Rattus norvegicus: one gene and its partners. The protein of the gene in region 3 interacts with the protein of the main gene of each other region in a pairwise test. Links are inferred from orthologs where the notes say so. Each region holds a gene or a part of one and is shown on either strand. Other genes may lie near its edges.

Region 1 (6,190 bases), on a different chromosome or scaffold from region 3:
CTTCTCCCCTAATTTACCCTGTTACCTAAAAGAAGAAAAGATGTCAAAGAAAATTTCAGACTAATAACTCACATAAACATGAAATACACAAACTCTCATTAAACCATTAGTTGAATCCACCAACTTATACAGAAAAGATAATACAATCAAAGTTCATCCAGGAATGAAAAATGGTTCAGGATTTAGAGGCCCGATTACTGTGAGATATCACCACAGTAACATTTCAAAGCGACCGTCTGGTCCTCCCAATACTTATAGGAAAAAAATCATTTAAAATATAGTATCTCTCAAATAAAAAGTACATTGGGAGTTAAACATCTTCAAAGGGGCATCTGAAAAATCTGCGGCCACCTTTGTGGTTGCCTGGGAGATCCAAATGCTTCCCCTGAAGTTTCAAGTTAGCCAGCGAGCTCTGTGAAACATCACAGGGATGGTTGCCCATGGTGATTTCAATGGGTCTACCTACATATTCACTCTATACTTCTCAGGAGAGATAGCTATTAGTGGTTTGAGTGTATCACTGTCTCGTGAGAATAGCAGAAACTGCAGACGGTATGTTTTAACGTTGATTGTAATTCAGAAGTGAGCACGGTCTCATAGCCTTCATCCCTTTAACTGAGCTACTTAATCCTCTACTTTTTCTTCGGAAAACTCTTATGCCCTCTGCTGTCTGTGAATTGAACGTAAAGCAATAATAAAAGTCACCAGCTCCCACACTGATTTGGTAGGAAATACTCAACACACTTGCACTTATATTTGTATGCTAAGAAGTTCCCTGAATTTCTGAGACAGCCTTGGGAGTCAATACACAGGAAGAAGTCCTTACTGTTTCTCCCTAGTAAAGATGCCAAACGTGATCACTGCTGATAACACGCAAAAGATGTAATCGTCCCACCTCACTGCTCGGAGATAACCGTCATTTATAAAGTGGTGTACGTCCTTCCAGAATTGTTTCTGTGATATGATTCTATACTAAATTTATTATTGTTGCTACAGAATTGAGATCGGACTATGCATAAAGGTTAGTATGTGCTATTTTACCCAATATTATATTATGGATTATTTCAGGATATTATTTTTTAATTGCTATATGATATTACAAATATAAAATTTATTTAAGTATTACTCTCTTATTGGGGAGTAATAAGCTCTCAAACTCTAAGTGTGTGGTTTCAGACCTCAGGACAAGGGACTGAGGCCTTATATTTTACATTTGATATTTTACATATCAAAGCAGACCTGGCCTCCAGGTTCTCCCAGAATCCCTCAGTCCCCACCTGGCGTACCCTGCCTCCAACCCTGAACTTGCCAGCCCAGGGGCTGTGCTATCCTTCCCCTAAGGGCTCCTCCCTATATAATCCTGGCATTTAGGTTTCCTTGCTGTCCTTCTCTCTCTCTTCTGTGCTCTTTCTTTCTCTCTCCCCCTTCTTCTCTCTCTCCCTTCCCATGGACTTCCCTGGCCTCCTTTCTTGGGGCCAATGAACTTGCCCGCCCAAGAGCAGCTTTCCAATAAACCTGCATTTAATATACTCTAATCTGGCTTAAATTGGCCTCACCCAGCAGAGAAATAGCTAATAATAAGCAGTCCTATTAAACAAACAAACAAACAAACAAACAAAAAACTCGTACGTTTGTAATTTGACGCCTTCATCCCTCAAAAACCGGTTTTAGGGGCCATAACAGCTTCATCTTATGTTTCTCAATCTGTTTCTTCAGCTGTCGTGCAGGGAGAAGAATAAGTCCTTAACAGTGAGACAATGCGTGGGAACAGGCTGTGAAAACTCTATCAGACACTTAAATGTAGACGAATCTGATACTTGTCAGGTTGTCGGGCGTTAGTAACGTTAATGTCTTACACCATTCTTACTCTCCATCAGATTTCCAGGTTCCAACCTCGTAAAACCAGGAAGGTAATTCTTCAACAAGTTTTAGTTTCTTTATTCGGAAGTGATGGAATAATGACTATGTCACAGATATCATTATGGCTCAGTGGCCAATTCTATTCATTTAATCTTTCTCAGAAAAGGAAAAATTACTATAGAAACAGGGTAATTTATTAAGGGTGCATATTTAGTCCAAATATATACAGCACTTCCACAGCAAATCAGAGTGCAGTTTCAACTTGCTCGTGCCTTTTTCAAACGTCAAAAAGTATGTCTCTGTGTTTTCATAAAAAGCTAATTTGAAGACTAATCTGAGTATATACGTCCACATGGAACCCAAGCCAATGGTGTGACTCACTGAGTGGGCTCCTGCTTATCATGAGATCTGTGTTATAGCCTCCTGAGGCAGGAGGCAAACACAGGAAACGATGGAGACCTGGGAAGGAAAGAAGCCTTCATTCTAGAGCCTGGCAGTGCTTGTCACCAGCAGAAACAATATTATCTATGATGGTCACCAATAGAAAGTCACTATCTCTTTTATAGTGATATTTCCAACTTAGGTTGTTGAAGGAGCAAGGAATCACATGTAAGACCTAAACATATGTGGCCTTTCTTCTTTCCCAGCTATACACCAGGAATTTTCTAGAAATCTTACCAAAAACCCTATTTCCAGTAAAGGACATGTCTTAATCCCTTTTATAATTCTTGTGACACATGGTTTTATTTTAGCATTGCCATCCAATCCAAGACATCTCTAGAGCTATCCTATAATCACACTTATTGAAAAGGGGGAGGGAAAAGGTTTTAAAGAAGTTTCCTAGAAATCCTTTGAGGCATAACTTGAGAGTCATTAAAAGAATGAATCTGTAAGACTTCTGCCAAGGCGCTTAAGGGCAAGCTCAAGAGAGCCTGAGAGGTTTACACCTGTGCTCTTGAATATGACTCTTTCTCTCCCTGAGTGAGCAGTCACCCCTACCAACCCCGGTGCTGCTTAAACCTGTGTTTAGAATCTCTTTTGAATCAACCCTCTTTCACACTAGCTTCTCCCAACATTTTTTTTCCTGCAGAGTCAAGAGTAGGTTTTTCCTCAGTGGAAGTCCTTAAGGACAGGGGGTTTCTCAGACGGCTGACAGAAGGGCTGGGCTGCCACAGTGCCATCACCACTACCATAGTCGTCACTAAGAGAATAACACGGACACTGGCAAGGACTTTATACCTATCGCTCTATCATTCTAGGTTCCAAGAATTGAGAGGGTCACATGTTTGGCTGAGAGTTCCAATCTTTAAAGGTATCATTTTATTTATTTATTTTGTACTCTATTTGAGACAGAGCTCTCAGTATATAGTCCAGGTGGACCTCAGATCTGAGATCCTCCTGCTTAGACTTCCCAAATTCCGAAAAACTACAAGTGAACACCACCACATTAGACTTAGAATTAGTTAAATCTGTATGTGAGGGAATTAGGGAATTATTTGAAGACTGTGGAGAAAGGGGGAGAAGAGTAGGCAAGTATGGATGAAATCATGTCCACAGCCCACATTTTCCATTATCTTTACTGCCTACTGAATAATAAACAGAAAAGAGTTAACTTCTAGAGTTATTTAGCACAGTCTATATATCAAAACTAAGGCCATGAAAATAATCTGACATCTCCTAACATGTCTTATTATCTTAGAGAGGAGGAAGAGAGGGAGAGAGAGAGAGAGAGAGAGAGAGAGAGAGAGAGAGAGAGAGAGAGAGAGATTTTATTTTATCACTAAGGCCAAGGATCAGTTGCAGGGAAAGAGCTCTAGATTGCTCTCTAAACAAGTTCAATTGTCTCCAAATCTCTTAGCAACTTAGAAATATGTCATTCCTAAAATACTTTAATCGTTTTGTAGACCGTACATCTTTGTTGTCCATTGTTTCATTTGATACTTGTGGGAAAAAAGAAAAAAGAAACCTTTAACACGATGCAAGAAAAACGTCATTTTACATGCAAACAGTTAAGACCCTAAGGCAACCAATGACTGACCTAAGGTCACTTACAATTAAGAAAGAGCCAGGATTCTAACACTTTTCCAATCTAGTATTTTCTAAGAGGTAGTTTCCTTAAAGGGCTGAGAAGGGAGGAAACAACAGAATGTGTCTATCCTCTCTTGCTAGGGGGATTCTCTATTCCAAGGGACCCACATTAGTTTGGTGATGTTTGGTTCTAGCCATCTAAAGAGGGTATTCCTAACTTTGAATCTAATTCCCATCTATAAACATGGTGCTTCTTACCCTTTCTTTTTGTCCTGATTCTTATTTTTCTCCGTGTGTTTTGGTCTCTGGGGTCTCACTTCAAAACTCCACCCTCTCCAGAGTCGCGTTCTCCGTATCCAAAGTAACCACACAGCTGAAATATTACCTTTCCATTGGTCAGTTAGATTAAGGTTTTTTTTTTTTCTTTCTCTGATCTCTTGGCCAATGGGCTTGAAGCAACAGGAACGCAACAGGGACTTCTCTACCAATCGGCTCTTGTCACTCTGCCTATTCGTCGCATTGTCTCATGGGATATGTAGTTTCAAAGCTACCAGAACCCCTCAATGTTTGGCTCCTTTAAAACTACATCTCCCGACGGCCTCCGCCAAAGGGGCGGAAATAGGTGGCTAGTCAGGGTCAGGGCTTCAACAGGACGCTTTGACGTTTTAATTTTCCTACCGGCATCGTTTTGAGGCTGAGATTTAAGTCGTTAAGTGCTGTGCTGGGACTTGGCTCGTTCTTCCTCAGCGGAACCGTGCTTACGGTCGCCTTTCTGACTGGCCCGAGGCAGCTCGTGTTTCGGGCTGTCTCAGGACCCGCGAGCCGAGGCTGAAGGGTTCCGAGGGAGAGCATGTTCGGCCGCCTCCCTCCTTGCGCGTCCCGGGTGCGGGCGGGCGCCTTGTTCGGAGCTCTGGGGACCCGGACATGCGGCTCCGGTGGGGCCGAGCGGCGGGGCTCGGTGCCCGCGAACCCTGGGGCCGGCCTGGCACGCGGGGATCTGAGGGAGTGGACGCTGAGGGTGAGCCCGTTTGGGCGGCTGAGGGCGCGGCTCCCATGCCACCTGTCCGTGAGGCCCCTGGATCCCCTCGCGCACCCGGACGGCGACCGCGTGCTAGTGGCGGTGAGCGGCGTGGGGAGCGGGACGCGTGGCCTAGACAGCCTGCAGGTCAAGTATGACGCTGCTCTGCAGGAGATGGCCATTCTGTCAGACGACATTGATCCCGAGGCGTCGGTGGAGGTGAACGCACCCGTCAAATTTGGCAAGTGATGTGAAAACGGGTTTGGGTCGCAAAATACCGTCTCACCTAGTTGGCCCTTTCCGGGGATCTCTTTTCTAAAGCCACACTCCTGGGTTCCTGAGTAGTGTTTAAGCGTTAGATTCCCGATTCCGGAGGAAAATTAAAACTGAATGGAAGCTTGTATTGGAACAATCTGAATCTAATTACATTGTGGAGCCCCATGTTCTTTTTTGTCACAGCCATTAGCATCGTTCAGTGTTGAGGTTTCCTGATAACTATCCAGTGGTTTGGTAGTCCACATCTTGGGGCTCTGGTCCCTAGTCAACTCTATGTATAGAGGCGTCCAGCTAACGTAGGAAAAAATACTTGCTTTCCAACAGGCTCCCAGGAAAGTATGTGTATTCATGTAGGCATGAGTAAATTCTCTGGGAATAACAAACTTTGAAGCAAGACACATATTTAAGGCTGCCTGGGAAAATTAATTATGGTACCTGCAAAACGTTTCTTAGGTGTCTGCGTCCCATTATTTCCCAGATGCAAACCGCTGAGCACACATATTTTTCTAGAAAGGTTTCTCGAGGCTCTCATTCTTCTTGGAACTGAAGGGTGGTGTTGCTGTTGATACCAATAGCACCATTTACCTCTTTCTTATAAGGTTCTTTTTATTAACCCTCACTGTCACGTAGTAGGGTGGATGCGTTTGTCCCCACTTCAGATGAGGACGAAGAAATGAAGGAAGTATCAGAAGACACACAGTGTAACTGAACAAACAAAAGGCCCCGTGCATGGTGGCGTTATGAAATTTGCTTTCTTAGATGCCTTTCCACCTTAAATACAATAGGCAGGGCTAGGATTGGAGCTGACTGGAATGGCTCAGCCGTTAATTGTGCTTTATTTCGTCTCAACTCCCAACTAGCCTAAATGGATAAGAGACCATACCTCCAAAATATAGTAATCTGAAGGTGCTGTTGGGTTTTTACCACGGTGCAGAGTAAGCTGGGTATCAAAGGAAAGGGAAGCAAAACTTAAAACAGCTCCTGGGAGATGGATATTACCCCTGCTGG
Region 2 (6,016 bases), on a different chromosome or scaffold from region 3:
TCTGAGATGGATGCGACTTAGAAAGTTGTAAGACTATGGAGACTACCAAAATCATGTCATATTGGGGGATAGTGGAGTGAAAAGTGTGTGTGTGTGTGTGTGTGTGTGTGTGTGTGTGTGTGACAGAGGTGGGGAGAGGGAGAAAGAGGGGGAGGGGGAGAGGGGGAGGGAAAGAGGGAGAGGGAGATCCAGTGTAAAAGTCAATAGATAATGCCTAAAATTGAAAACTCAAAAAGCGACAATAAAACACATTATTTGAAAATACTGAGTTAGACATCAAAAGCCTTGGGAAAGGGTCCCTGCCAAAAGAATTCACAGTGGCTGCCTGTGGGAGTAGAAAACTGGCTGGGCACCAACATAACTAGATTTTGCTTTCTATTGTTTTTGGTAATGCATAGAACCAAATACATTTTTATATTGTGTACACACCTTTTTTCACATATATATGTATATGTATATATGTATATATATATCTGTATGCTTGTGGTTTTAGCACTACATAAGCTCACAGTAGGTGCTAAATATTCGTTGAAAGCAAGCTGCTTCAAGAAACATCAGAGGAACATGTTTATAAACTTGCTAACAAGTCCCTGGAGAACCACCCGAAATTTACTGGCTTCTTAACACGAGAGTCGGTGGGGTCTGAGCTCTGGAGACCATGGTACAGAACATCTGGCCACAGAACATCTGGCCACATGCCTACCAGTCCTTCAGAGCACACTGTGGTGTGCTCATTAACATCTGGAACTAACTGTAACTCTCTCGTACCCGAACAAGACCAGCTCTCTCCACTAAGTTCTAAGTTCTTTAAGGACCAGTTCTGTTTTTAAATAACCTTGGCTCTTCAGGGCTTAACACTCAGTACAAGGTACTTTGTTTTCAAAGGGGGAATGCAGAGAACCAGCCACAGCCTTTGCAGGGCTGAGACGATATGCTACACAAGCACAAGCTTGAGTCTTCCAGTCTGTCTTACTGTACCCCAGTGTCACAGTCACTTTAGGGGCTGAACACACGCTTAGTCTGACCTCGCTGTGCTGTGAACTCTAATCAGGCTGCCCCTCTCACCTCCACGTGATCAATTTCCAGTGTAGAAAAAAAATCCAGGCATTGGAGCCAGATGTATTTCAATTCAACCGCTGCCTCCTTCACTAATCACTTTTCTACCCTGATGTAAATTCTAGTTCCCGTCTCCACCTGTCTGAGGCTCAGTGGGGGAGAGTTGCCGAGATGCAGCAATGGTTACTCTCCACCCTTCACCTCTCAGTGGCGTTGGCTATGGCTGGGCAGGGCCATTTCATATTGAAAAAACTAAGATTGGAAATGCACTGAGTTAACCTAATGAGCCGGAGCACCGACAGCTCAGCCCTCAGTGTCCTGTGGTGAAGGAGACGGTCCACCCTCACAGTTTACTGCTGACCGTGAAGGAGACCGTCCACCCTCACAGTTCACTGCTGACTGTGCATTTGAGGCCACCAGCGTTGTCAGAGTGAATCCACAGAAGATAGATTAGAGATTAGAAGATGGTTTCCACCATCCTCTTCAGAGCTTCACCCAAGCGTCAGGTGATCGGGCAAGCTGAGCAGTCCTGAGTCCAGCGTCAACCATGTATGGAATTCCTGATCTATAGCTAGGCATGTGCTACCCAGCTGGAGAGCACATTTCCGAGCCTTTTTTTTCACGACTCCGTGTGACTGAGTTCTGGCCAATGTTAATGAACACAGGGGAGCCCGACATCTCTAGGCAGACTTCTAGAAGGAAAGTCTTTCCTGCCCTTGTTTCCCCCTCACTAAGACCAGGATGGAAAACAGTCACAATGCTGGAGCTAGAACCGGAGCAACCACTCACTCTGACATAGAGATGGGTTTGCATGTTACTTAAGGCTGTGCACTTGGTGTGCATGTGTGTGCGTGTGCGTGCGTGTGTGTGTGCCTGTGCATGTGTGTGTGTGTGCGTGTGTGTGTGTGTGCCTGTGCATGTGCATGTGTGTACATGTGCGTGTGTGTGTGCATGTGCGTGCGTGCATGTGTGCGTGCGTGTGTGTGTGTGCCTGTGCATGTGCGTGTGTGTGTGTGTGTGTGTGTGTGTGTGCGCGTGTGTGTGTTTCAGGGGTTCTGGCTCTACTATAATGTATTCTGTTTTCTTGTTGAGAATAAGGGCTATGGCCAGGAGATCGGACTCGAAACGTAGTCTTAGTTACTCATGCTTCTCTCCTTTCCTTTACCTGATGTCAGAGTCACAGGGGAAGCAGAGTCACTGGAAGTGAGACGCTAGAGTTGTGATTGGGTCAAAAGCAGCCACACTCAGGACTGGGCTCTGATGTGAGTGCCTCTGCTGCCTCAGTGTGAGTCCAGCAGAGGCAGAAGGATAGTGAACTCTTCATGGTGCTGATGCAGGAGAAGAGGCAGGACAAATAATTGTGAAGCGGAATTTGGCCCATTTCCTATGGTGAATGTTCTCCAAACCCCATTCTAAAATATCCAATTCTTGCTGTGCTATGGAAATATATGCATCGTGGGGCTGTGTTTATATGTTGAGAAAATGTGGCCAGTCTTATGTAGGAGCAGAGAAACCACTCACCCCAGCAAGAAAAGGCCAGGAAGTGCTGTGCTGTGGACATGTTAAGGGCTGAGGAGGCCAGCGTGGGTCCCCAACCTGTGATGCTGACGTATCAGTCGGGAAGCGCTGTCTTCCAGGGTATAGACTCAACATCAGAAAGATTCACACGAATAGAGACTTCATAACTTACTTGAGATTTTCTGTCTATTTACCCCCTCCCCCAATCAGCACATCCTATTTTTAACAATTCATTTCAGAACTCACGCTTCCTCCAGGACTTCTGGGCATAAAGATGAGCTAATTAAATAGAATTTCTGCAGCACTTACCCTGCCGTAGTATGGGCTTGGTTCTCCATGCCAAGAAATGTTTACATCTGACTTGGTACTTACTGATATTTAATCTGTGAGGAGGGAAATTATTTAGAATTATAAAATGCTTACACATATTAATATAAGATATGATATTTTTGCTGTTGGCAGCCACTTAGTATAGGTTTTGTGAGCATGGAAGCTCTAGCTTTGACAAGTACAGAAGGCCCACGGTGGGGGTGTGGGTGTGGGTGGGGGTGTGGGTAGGGTGTGGGGGTGGGGGGTGGGGGGTGGGGAGGTTTCTTTGGCTTGAAGTTTCCACACAAGTAGGAATACTGGCTCAGCATTTGTTTGCAATATTTGGTACTGGCTGAAACCAGAAAGCATTCCTCCTTAACTCAAAGGCAGCTAGGTGTCAGTGGCCTTTTCAGAGTGCTCAGTTCCTAATTCTTGCTCTGAGAAGTGTTGTCTAGAAGCCCTTGGAGTTTACATCTTAGCGACTCCCTATCCTCTGCCTTGGAGTATATTCTTTTGTTGGCTTTTCTTGACCTTTTAAAGGAGTAGATAAAGCAGGAGATTTAGTACAAAAGTCCAAGAACAGGAGCTGGACAACTGGTCCAGCAGTCATTGAGCTTAGAGTGCAGAGAGAGGACCCCAGCACTGGTCGGGGAGCTCAAAACCACCTATAACTCTAGCTCCAGGGCAATCAGATGCCCTCTCCCTCCCTGGCACCTACATCCCTCCCAACCCTCCCCATATCACCCCCTACACCTCCCCATACCCCCTCACACCACCCCTACAACACAGACACACTGTTGTCCCATTAGTGGATAAACTTATAAGGATAAATGAACAAAGTGGTAAATTGGACCTAACCTTACTAAGAAGTATATGAACTAATTAAGTACCTGAGAAAGAGAAGGAGAGGGGTAGGGAAGGAAAAAGAGAAGGTGTTGAAGAGGATGAAGAGGAGGAGGAAAGAGAGGAGAGGGTAAAGGGAGAGAGAAGAAGAGAGTGGGAGAGGGGGAGGTGAACAGGATGAATATGAAGAAGGGGAAGGAAAGGAAGGAAGGGGAAAGGGGATAGGAGGAATCTCCATTCAGACCGTTTAGCACCACAGGAAATTGCAGCAGTGGGGCAGACACTGGAGGTGACAGGAGACAAAACTAGATCAAAAAGTTCAGACAAAAGAGGGAAACTGAGGCACACTCCCAGGGTCTGCTGGAGGCAGTGGAAGCCAGCTGCTGCCTAGGGGAGGGACAGGTCCTGGGTTCAGGGAGTCAGCCGCCTGTTACCTGTACTGCTGTCTGGAGAGGTCTGCCCTGGCCTGGGCTGTGGGTCCCGCCCGCAGCACCCCGCCCGGCCGGCACCGTTGGCCTCTGGTCCCCAATGGGTTGCCATGGAGACGCGGCCTCCGCACCGGTCTGCTTCCCTCCAGCCGGAACTCCCTAGTACTGGCGCGGTCAGTGCCCAGTCCAGTGCCTCCAAGATCCGCCCATCCTGGCTAGCTGCGGCCCGCCGCACCCAGGGGCGCGAGAGAAGCGCGGGAGGACACTGCCCAATCAGAGAGCTGGTGGGCCACCAGGAGCGCCACAGAGACTGGGATACCTAACTCTGGGCCTCAGCCCTCTTCCCAGAGGAAACCAGGGTTGGGAGGGAAAGAACTCCAGGCAAAGGCCCTTTGAATTCACCTTAGTTAACTTCCAGCTGGGAATTGGTTAGGCTCACTCCTCTGTCACTGTATTCGCACCATTTAAACCTCTCTCTTCCTCACAGTTCTCTGAGTCCTTGGAAAACTGCCAGTTAGGTGGATTAGGCTGTATTGGGAACAAGGGAGTAGCTTCTAGTGGTGGGAACCAACCCGGATCCTCGGTAACTGATTCCAAATTCTTTCCTTTTCAGCCACATTCCAACCATAATTGATGACAGAATCTCAGTCTGACCCTGTTGATTTCACTTAGAAAATGACGTTATATACCATAATGCATATATATGTATATGTATGTATATATACACATATACACACATATGTAACAGAATACACACATACAGTATAGAAATCACAATACATTGATACATGTACTATTTACAAGTTATATATAATATACATACGTGTATATATACTTGGCACAAAATACAGACAATAAAGAAATCACACATGCACTGATACATGTATGTTATTATATACATTATATAATTACATATTAATTTATTATATATTATATGTATTATATTACATATTACATACTACATACTGCATAGTACATATTACACATTACACATTATATATTATATATTATACACACACACAGGTGTGACAGCAAGCATGTGAATTGGGGGATGCTGCTGGGCCTACTTTAGGAACATAACTGTTTCTCAGCATGTTCAGCTGATTGATTGCTAGTTCTTAAAGCCTGTCATTTGCATTCTTTTGACTCATGTCACTTTGCTACTTTAACATGGCCGTCAATTTTAATCCAGCCCACAGTCCTCCATCCAGGTTTGCCCGGTGCTCAGATGAGTCATGTGGAGTAATTCAGGAAGCTAGTTCTGCTTAGTGCAGTTCTGACAGTGACTGGGTGAAGCATGGTCATCTCATCTTATCCTGAAACTTCATTATTCTGGGAAAGTTAGTCACACCCTTTATTCTTGCCTAAGCTGAAATACACCATGTATTTTTCCTGTCAAGAAATGTAACCATCACTGTTGCTCTATTACTTTTGGGTGTTTTTGTTTTTTGTTTTTATTTTTTTATTTATTTATTTTTTGAGACTGTTTCTTGGTGTAGCCTTGGTTATCATGGAACTCACTCTGTAGACCAGGCTGGGCTCGAACTCAGAGATCTGCCTACCTTTGCCTCTTAAGTATCGCATGTGATTAAAGGTGTGCGCCATCATGCCTGCTATTTACTTACTTTGACTGTTGGTATCAGGGGAAGTGCACATGAATGGTTCACTGTAGGTGTCAGAGGACAAAGTGTAGAACTCTGCTCTCTCCTACGTTTTGGTTCTTAGGCGTCATGCTCATATACTCAGGCTTGGTAGCACATGCGTTTACCAGCTGAGCCACCAGATGAAAGTGAGCAGGAAGAACAGAAAGTGAAGCAGAAAGAAAACTTCATGATGGTCCAAGATGTCCAAGACTGTACCCG
Region 3 (6,056 bases):
GCTTGCCCAAGACCATCAGAAAACAGGTATTTTTATTATGATTCAAAACAGTAGCAAAAATTATAGTTATGAAGTAGCAATGGAAATAATTTTATGGTTGGAGGTCACGATATGAGAAACTATATTAAAGGATTGCAGCAATGAGAAGGTTTAGAACCACTATTTCAGAGTATCCTCTTTGTATGGAATTTTGTGAAGACCTGATGTAGATGCTACCTCTTTAGAGATTTCCAATATGTTTATTGGGAAGCAAGCAGGGCATTGGTTTCCAGATACCTTTAATCCAAACCTTTTTGAGATACAATTCCCTCTGTAAATGTAAATTTTTTAATGCTTTGAGCTTTGATCACTCTGGGTAAGTGCTCTGCCACTGAGTTTATTATACAATATTGCCTTTCGAATTTACATCTGAACAGACAACACTATTCTGAGTCCGTTTGACAGACCTATTACAGAAAAATGGACACCATTTAAGGACCCTAAAACAAAGTCCAATTAGCACAGTTTGCAACATGCTCTACCCCACAGCCTGAGTCAAGCCTCTGAGACTGCAGCATTTAGCCAACAGTAATTTCAACACTTCATGGCTAATGTTATAACAGAAGCCTAGCCAGACCTAAGAGAACTAGTATAAAATGTAGGCTCTTAAAGTGACCTTGAGCAGGGACTTAAAATGCTTTGTCTCTAGGTGTGGTGCTAATCCTAGCACTCAGGGAGCATAGCAGGCAGAACTTTGTGAGTTTCTAGGACAGCTTGATCTATATAGCGAGTTCCAAGTCAGGCAGCACTAGAAAGCAAGACCTTATCAAACATAGCAAACTCCAAACAAGTAAATAATTGAAATCACAATTGTGTTTGTTTTTGAATGATCTAAGCATCGAAAATCCTAATGAACAAAGACAAAATCTAACTTTCTAAAGCATTAGCCCATGTAGGAGCACGTGGTACTTTGCAGAAAGTGGGGCAGGGCTGAGTGGGAGTTTACCAATCCGCCTAAAGCCAAACCTCCTTGCTACAATCCCCTCCTGAGGATCCAAGCTGGTGATGTCAGAAGGCGGGGCATACTTGGTCTCAAAGCCTGTGATGGCGGAGAATGGTTAAGATGGGTTTTAGTTGGATCTGAGGTAGAAGCCAGCATAGTCAAAGACTAACAGCCAGGGCTACACGGAGAAACCCTGACTGGGCTGGGTGGAATGGAATGGGGCACTGGGGAGAAGATTAAGAAAAGGATGGGTGGTGTCAGGCTTCCAGGTTTGAATCCGCAATAAGCACACAGTATTGATGGATGGAGCCATAGATTATTTACCCTTTACCTGGGCATGGTGGCCCGTGCCATTAGTCCCAGTCTTGGAGAGACAAAGACAGGCAGAACTCTTGAATTCAAGGCCAATTTGATACACCTAGAGAATTCGGGGCCTGCCAAAGCCACACATGAGACATTGTCTCTAACAAACAATAGTACATACTTTTTTCTTTTAATTAGCCTTTTCCGTACTGCCCTATATTTCCCAGATCTCTGAGTATAATGTTCTTTCTCTGAGTAATTATGAGGACCAAGCTATTACATACGAGGGAAGAACACATTGTTTGGATTATTATAAACCTTCTACTGGAATGGAGAGGGGAGGGATACTAGGCACATAACAAATTAGTGGTTTGGGCGTGAGATAAATATCTCCTAATTCACAGTTTACCCTTCTTTCTCTCTTCCACTCGCAAGTCCTCAGAGATCCTAAAATAGTCATACATGTTCATAAGGGAGTGTATGAAAAAAAATCCAGACTGCCAAAGTTTAAGGGCCAATCATAGTTTCTGTACTAGGAAGGAGGCTGACACGAATCTCTAGACCGAATGACATAATTTCGGACCCTCAGGGTATTTGGCTCCTAAGCTTTTCGGTTGCATCTCGGGAGTTGTGACCTGCCGCAAGGCATGAAGGGACTCGTAGTTTTTCCCACTCCCGCCTCCAAAGCCGCCTTGGCCTCTTTTCCCAGCAAGCTCCGCGCCAGCGTTTGCTGTTGATTGGCTGCCGCAGGAGAGGGTGGTCCAGCTGGCAGCAGTTACCCAGGTTTCCGGTGCTCGGCCAGAGTCGGGGACGCGGTCGGACGTCCGCGGTGAAGTATGTCTTTGGGCTGTACACGGGACGAGCTCTTCAGAGGGTCCATGACCCAGGACGCGTTAGCCGCGGAGGAACAACTAATTCTGTGGACGGGGTGGGGAGAGTTGTGTGCTGCCGTGCTGCGCATGCGTACTTCGGGTCTAGAGGGCGCGTGGGGTGTGGGTGTCTTCTGTGTACGCGCGCGCGCGCGCGGGAATCCCACGTGGGACCTGGTGGGGCGGGGGGCCGGTCGGGACTGGAGCATCCCGCCACGTCAGTCTGCGGCTCTGAGCCAATCCCGCGCTCCCGCTGCCGAGAGGGAGCCGTGTGGTGCTGAGAAGTGGCATTCAGGAGAAGGGAGGCCTCTTCCTTCCTTCACTCTGTGCTGGTGCAGCTTCTCGGAAACCTTGCCCGGGACCGTGAAGTCTCAGGCGAAGGCCGACCAGTTTGTTTGAAGCTTAGAGCTTCAGATTTGGAGATTTCTCATCTAGGTTGTGAAGAATTTTGAAGTCTAGAAAATAGCAGCGGTGTCCGTAAAGGATCTACCCCTTTTCTGGCCTTGCAGATCACAATGAAGAACCAAGACAAAAAGAATGGGCCTGCCAAACACTCCAACCCGAAGAACAGCCCTGGGCAACGGGAAGCAGGACCGGAGGGAGCTCATGGACGGCCCAGACAGACAGCTCCTGGTGCGGAAGCTGAAGGTTCCACAAGCCAGGCTCCTGGGAAGACCGAGGGTGTGTGCCAGCTCTGCTTTTCCAGTGGGCAGAGGGAGGAGTTTCTGGTACTTGCATCTATCTGAGGCCAGTATTTACCCAGGAAGGAGGAACTATAGAATGAAACAATGCCCATTCTGTGATCCTCATGTTTCCTAGGGAGGTGATGAAGCTTTCCACTCTTAGCCCTGGAACGGAACCTTGGGGGCATGCTCTGACTGGTTTAAACCAAATGACAATCAAATGAGGCGCCCCATAAGCAAAGTCATATTCCCACTTGCCAGTGCCCGGTGATTAATTGTCCTTCATAAGACAGAGCGTCTGCTACACGTCAGTCGTCCCTCTTGTAGGGGTGCTTTACACAGTTGTCTTTGATGGTCATAACAAGTATGTTTGGGTGTTAGAAATAATTGTTTCGTCTTATAAAAACGTTTTATACGACTTAGGGTTTAAAAAAATTAAATTGAGGCCAGGCATAGTGGCCCTCACCTTTGTTCTCAGAACCCAGAAGTCAGAGGCAGGTAGATCTGAGTTTGAGGTCATCCTCATCCTCATAGTGAGTTCCCAGACAGCCAAGGCCCTGTAGAGAGAGCCTGTCTCAACTGAATAAATAAATGGAACGTTTAACCCACACAAGTGGTGTTTGTCTGGGCTTAAAGAAGAAGAAAACCCAAGGGAGCGGTGTAACCACCTAACGTTCACTGTCTTCATCTTGTAGGCGCTCGAGCTAAAGCATCTCAGTCTGGGGCCCTCTGTGATGTCTCTGAGGAGCTGAGCCGACAGTTGGAAGACATTCTGAGTACATACTGTGTGGACAACAATCAGGGAGGCCCAGGTGAGGAGGGAGCTCAGGGGGAGCCCACTGAGCCTGAAGACACAGAGAAGTCCCGAACCTATGCAGCCAGGAATGGGGAGCCTGAACCGGGCATTCCAGTCGTCAATGGCGAGAAAGAGACCTCTAAGGGGGAGCCTGGCACAGAAGAGATCCGAGCAAGTGACGAGGTTGGAGACCGAGACCTTCGAAGGCCACAGGAAAAGAAGAAAGCCAAGGGTCTAGGTGAGGGGGAGCTCCTGCTGACGGGAGGGAGTGAACACTTGCCATCTCATGGGCTAGCCTGCTCTGTCTGGACACAAGAGAATCTGCTTTTCAAGACAGTACATCCCCCCAGTTTAGTCAAAGATGGGGTCATCCCATTGAGCTGTTCAGATCACTCACTTGTGCAAGGCCTCCTGGCCTTGGGAGCCAAGTGGAGGCAGGAATCCAACTAGCTTTCTCACTGGGAATATGGAAAACCGGAGGGAGGCCTAAGTGCTCGACAACACCACTTTCAACCTGCTGTTTGACTTTGGGCATGTTTATTCTCCACTCCTAGAGAGGGTCTTAGTTTCCCTGTTTGTACAGCAATAGAATTGGGCTACACCAAGGTTGAAATATCAACATGGACCAGGTAAGCCACAGACCTCTTCAGAATCAAGAAAGGGCCTTCTTGATCTGAAAACCTGACTCCTACCTGGTTAGTCCCCCAGTCGCATCTGACCAGCTGAATAATTGGTAACCAAAATAATAGAAAGTAAGCAGAGGCCTCCATTGGTTGGATTTGCCATCTCCGTGTTACCTTTTGGGCCTCCCAGGGCTGACAGCTCAGAACCTGGTCTGTGCTGAGTACAGTGGAACCCAAGGGAGACAGCTGTAAGGCTTCCCGGCTGAGGTAAAGCAAGGCAGTGGCAACCTGGCACCATGGCGTACACCTTTAACCTCAGTACCTGAGAAGCAGGAGCAAGTGCATCTCCTGAGTACCAGACCAGCCAGCTGCATAATGAAACCTTATCACAAACAAAGGACAGGAGTGATGGGACAATGTGAAAATACGAACTTAGAACCTAATGCAAACCAAATATGGTAGTGTATGCCTCTAATGGGGAACTAGGAGGAACAGAAGCAGGAAGATGCTGAGTTCAAAGCCAGCTTGGGCTACATAGCAATACCCTCTCTTTGTGTGTGTGTGTGTGTGTGTGTGTGTGTGCGCGTGTGTGCGCGTGCGCGTGTGTGCGTGTGTGCGCGTGTGTGCGCGTGCGTGCGCGTGCGCTACTGTAACCATGTCATTGGCCCTCCGCCCTCATTTTGTTGTGTCTTAAAGACAGACTTCTTGCTTTTTTTCCCCCCTAAAGACACAGGGTCACATATGAAGGAGACAAGCTTTTTTTTTTTTTTTTTTTTTTTTTTTTTTTTGGTTCTTTTTTCGGAGCTGGGGACCGAACCCAGGGCCTTGCGCTTCCTAGGTAAGCGCTCTACCACTGAGCTAAATCCCCAACCCCCAAGCATTTTTTTTTAAAGCTTTATTTATTTATTCCATGTATGTGAGTACACTGTCACTGTCTTAGGACACACCAGAAGAGGGCATCAGATCTCTTTACAGATGGTTGTGAGCCACCATGTGGTTGCTGGGAATTGAACTCAGGACCTCTGGAAGAGCAGTCAGTGCTCTTAACCACTGAGTCATCTGTCCAGGCTGTAATACATCCTCTTTATAGTCTTATCAGACATCCAGATTGATGTCCCATCCTTGCAATTTTGATTCCTTATCTTTGCAATAAATATGTATGTGCACCTAACTTCTGGGATGTCAAGTCCTCTGGTATCTACTGAGGAGTATATAGCCAGATTATACAACAGTTACATTTTAGTCCAAAAAAATTGAATGCTTGAAATATAAGCAATGAAAAAATGCAGACTTTGCTGCAACAGGTGAGCCCAGGTTCCTTGCTAGGCAGTTTTGGCCTAATACATAGGACTCCTCACTCAGGCTCTGGTCCCATCTCCCCTCCATACCATAACAGGGCATCTCGTCCACCCTGAAGTCTCAGGCACCCACTCAGCAGGATGCCACAGCTACAGAGCAATGAGCATTCCTGGACAGCCCAGTGAGGCTACTGTTTTTTTGTTTTGTTTTGTTTTAAAGATGTATTTATTTATTATGTGTAAGTACACTGTAGCTGTCTTCAGACACACCAGAAGAGGGCATGATCTCATTACAGATGGTTGTGAGCCACCATGTGGTTGCTGGGAATTGAACTCAGGACCTCTGGAAGAGCAGTCGGTGCTCTTAACAGCTGAGCCATCTCTCCAGCCCAAGACATGCATGTTAAATGTAACTGTAGTTATGTCTGTTGACAGGAGTTTGGCTACTTCCTCCAGGGACATCAGACAGTAGCCCTAGGTTTATCAATAGACTTGCCTTTCT

What was found.
Region 1: the proteins of Txlna (region 3) and Ccdc146 interact in binary tests that used the Homo sapiens proteins (3 or more experiments, as listed by UniProt). The link is inferred for Rattus norvegicus from reciprocal best matches to the Homo sapiens genes TXLNA and CCDC146.
Region 2: the proteins of Txlna (region 3) and Deup1 interact in binary tests that used the Homo sapiens proteins (3 or more experiments, as listed by UniProt). The two-hybrid records come from large-scale screens. The link is inferred for Rattus norvegicus from reciprocal best matches to the Homo sapiens genes TXLNA and DEUP1.

The regions. Positions count from the first base shown.
Region 1 is NC_086022.1:14,553,465-14,559,654, reverse strand, and holds the start of Ccdc146 (coiled-coil domain-containing protein 146), read right to left. Parts: upstream 4,246-6,190; 5' UTR 4,147-4,245; intron 1,717-4,146; exon of another isoform or gene 1,630-1,716; intron 1-1,629. Other genes in the region: protein FAM185A, read left to right, coding at 4,739-5,147. UniProt on the Homo sapiens protein: Essential for sperm flagellum biogenesis and male fertility.
Region 2 is NC_086026.1:20,719,341-20,725,356, forward strand, and holds the start of Deup1 (deuterosome assembly protein 1), read right to left. Parts: upstream 4,246-6,016; 5' UTR 4,161-4,245; intron 2,958-4,160; 5' UTR 2,913-2,957; coding exon 2,884-2,912; intron 1-2,883. UniProt on the Homo sapiens protein: Key structural component of the deuterosome, a structure that promotes de novo centriole amplification in multiciliated cells.
Region 3 is NC_086023.1:147,265,318-147,271,373, reverse strand, and holds the start of Txlna (alpha-taxilin), read left to right. Parts: upstream 1-2,100; 5' UTR 2,101-2,213; intron 2,214-2,663; 5' UTR 2,664-2,669; coding exon 2,670-2,835; intron 2,836-3,532; coding exon 3,533-3,871; intron 3,872-6,056. UniProt on the Homo sapiens protein: May be involved in intracellular vesicle traffic and potentially in calcium-dependent exocytosis in neuroendocrine cells.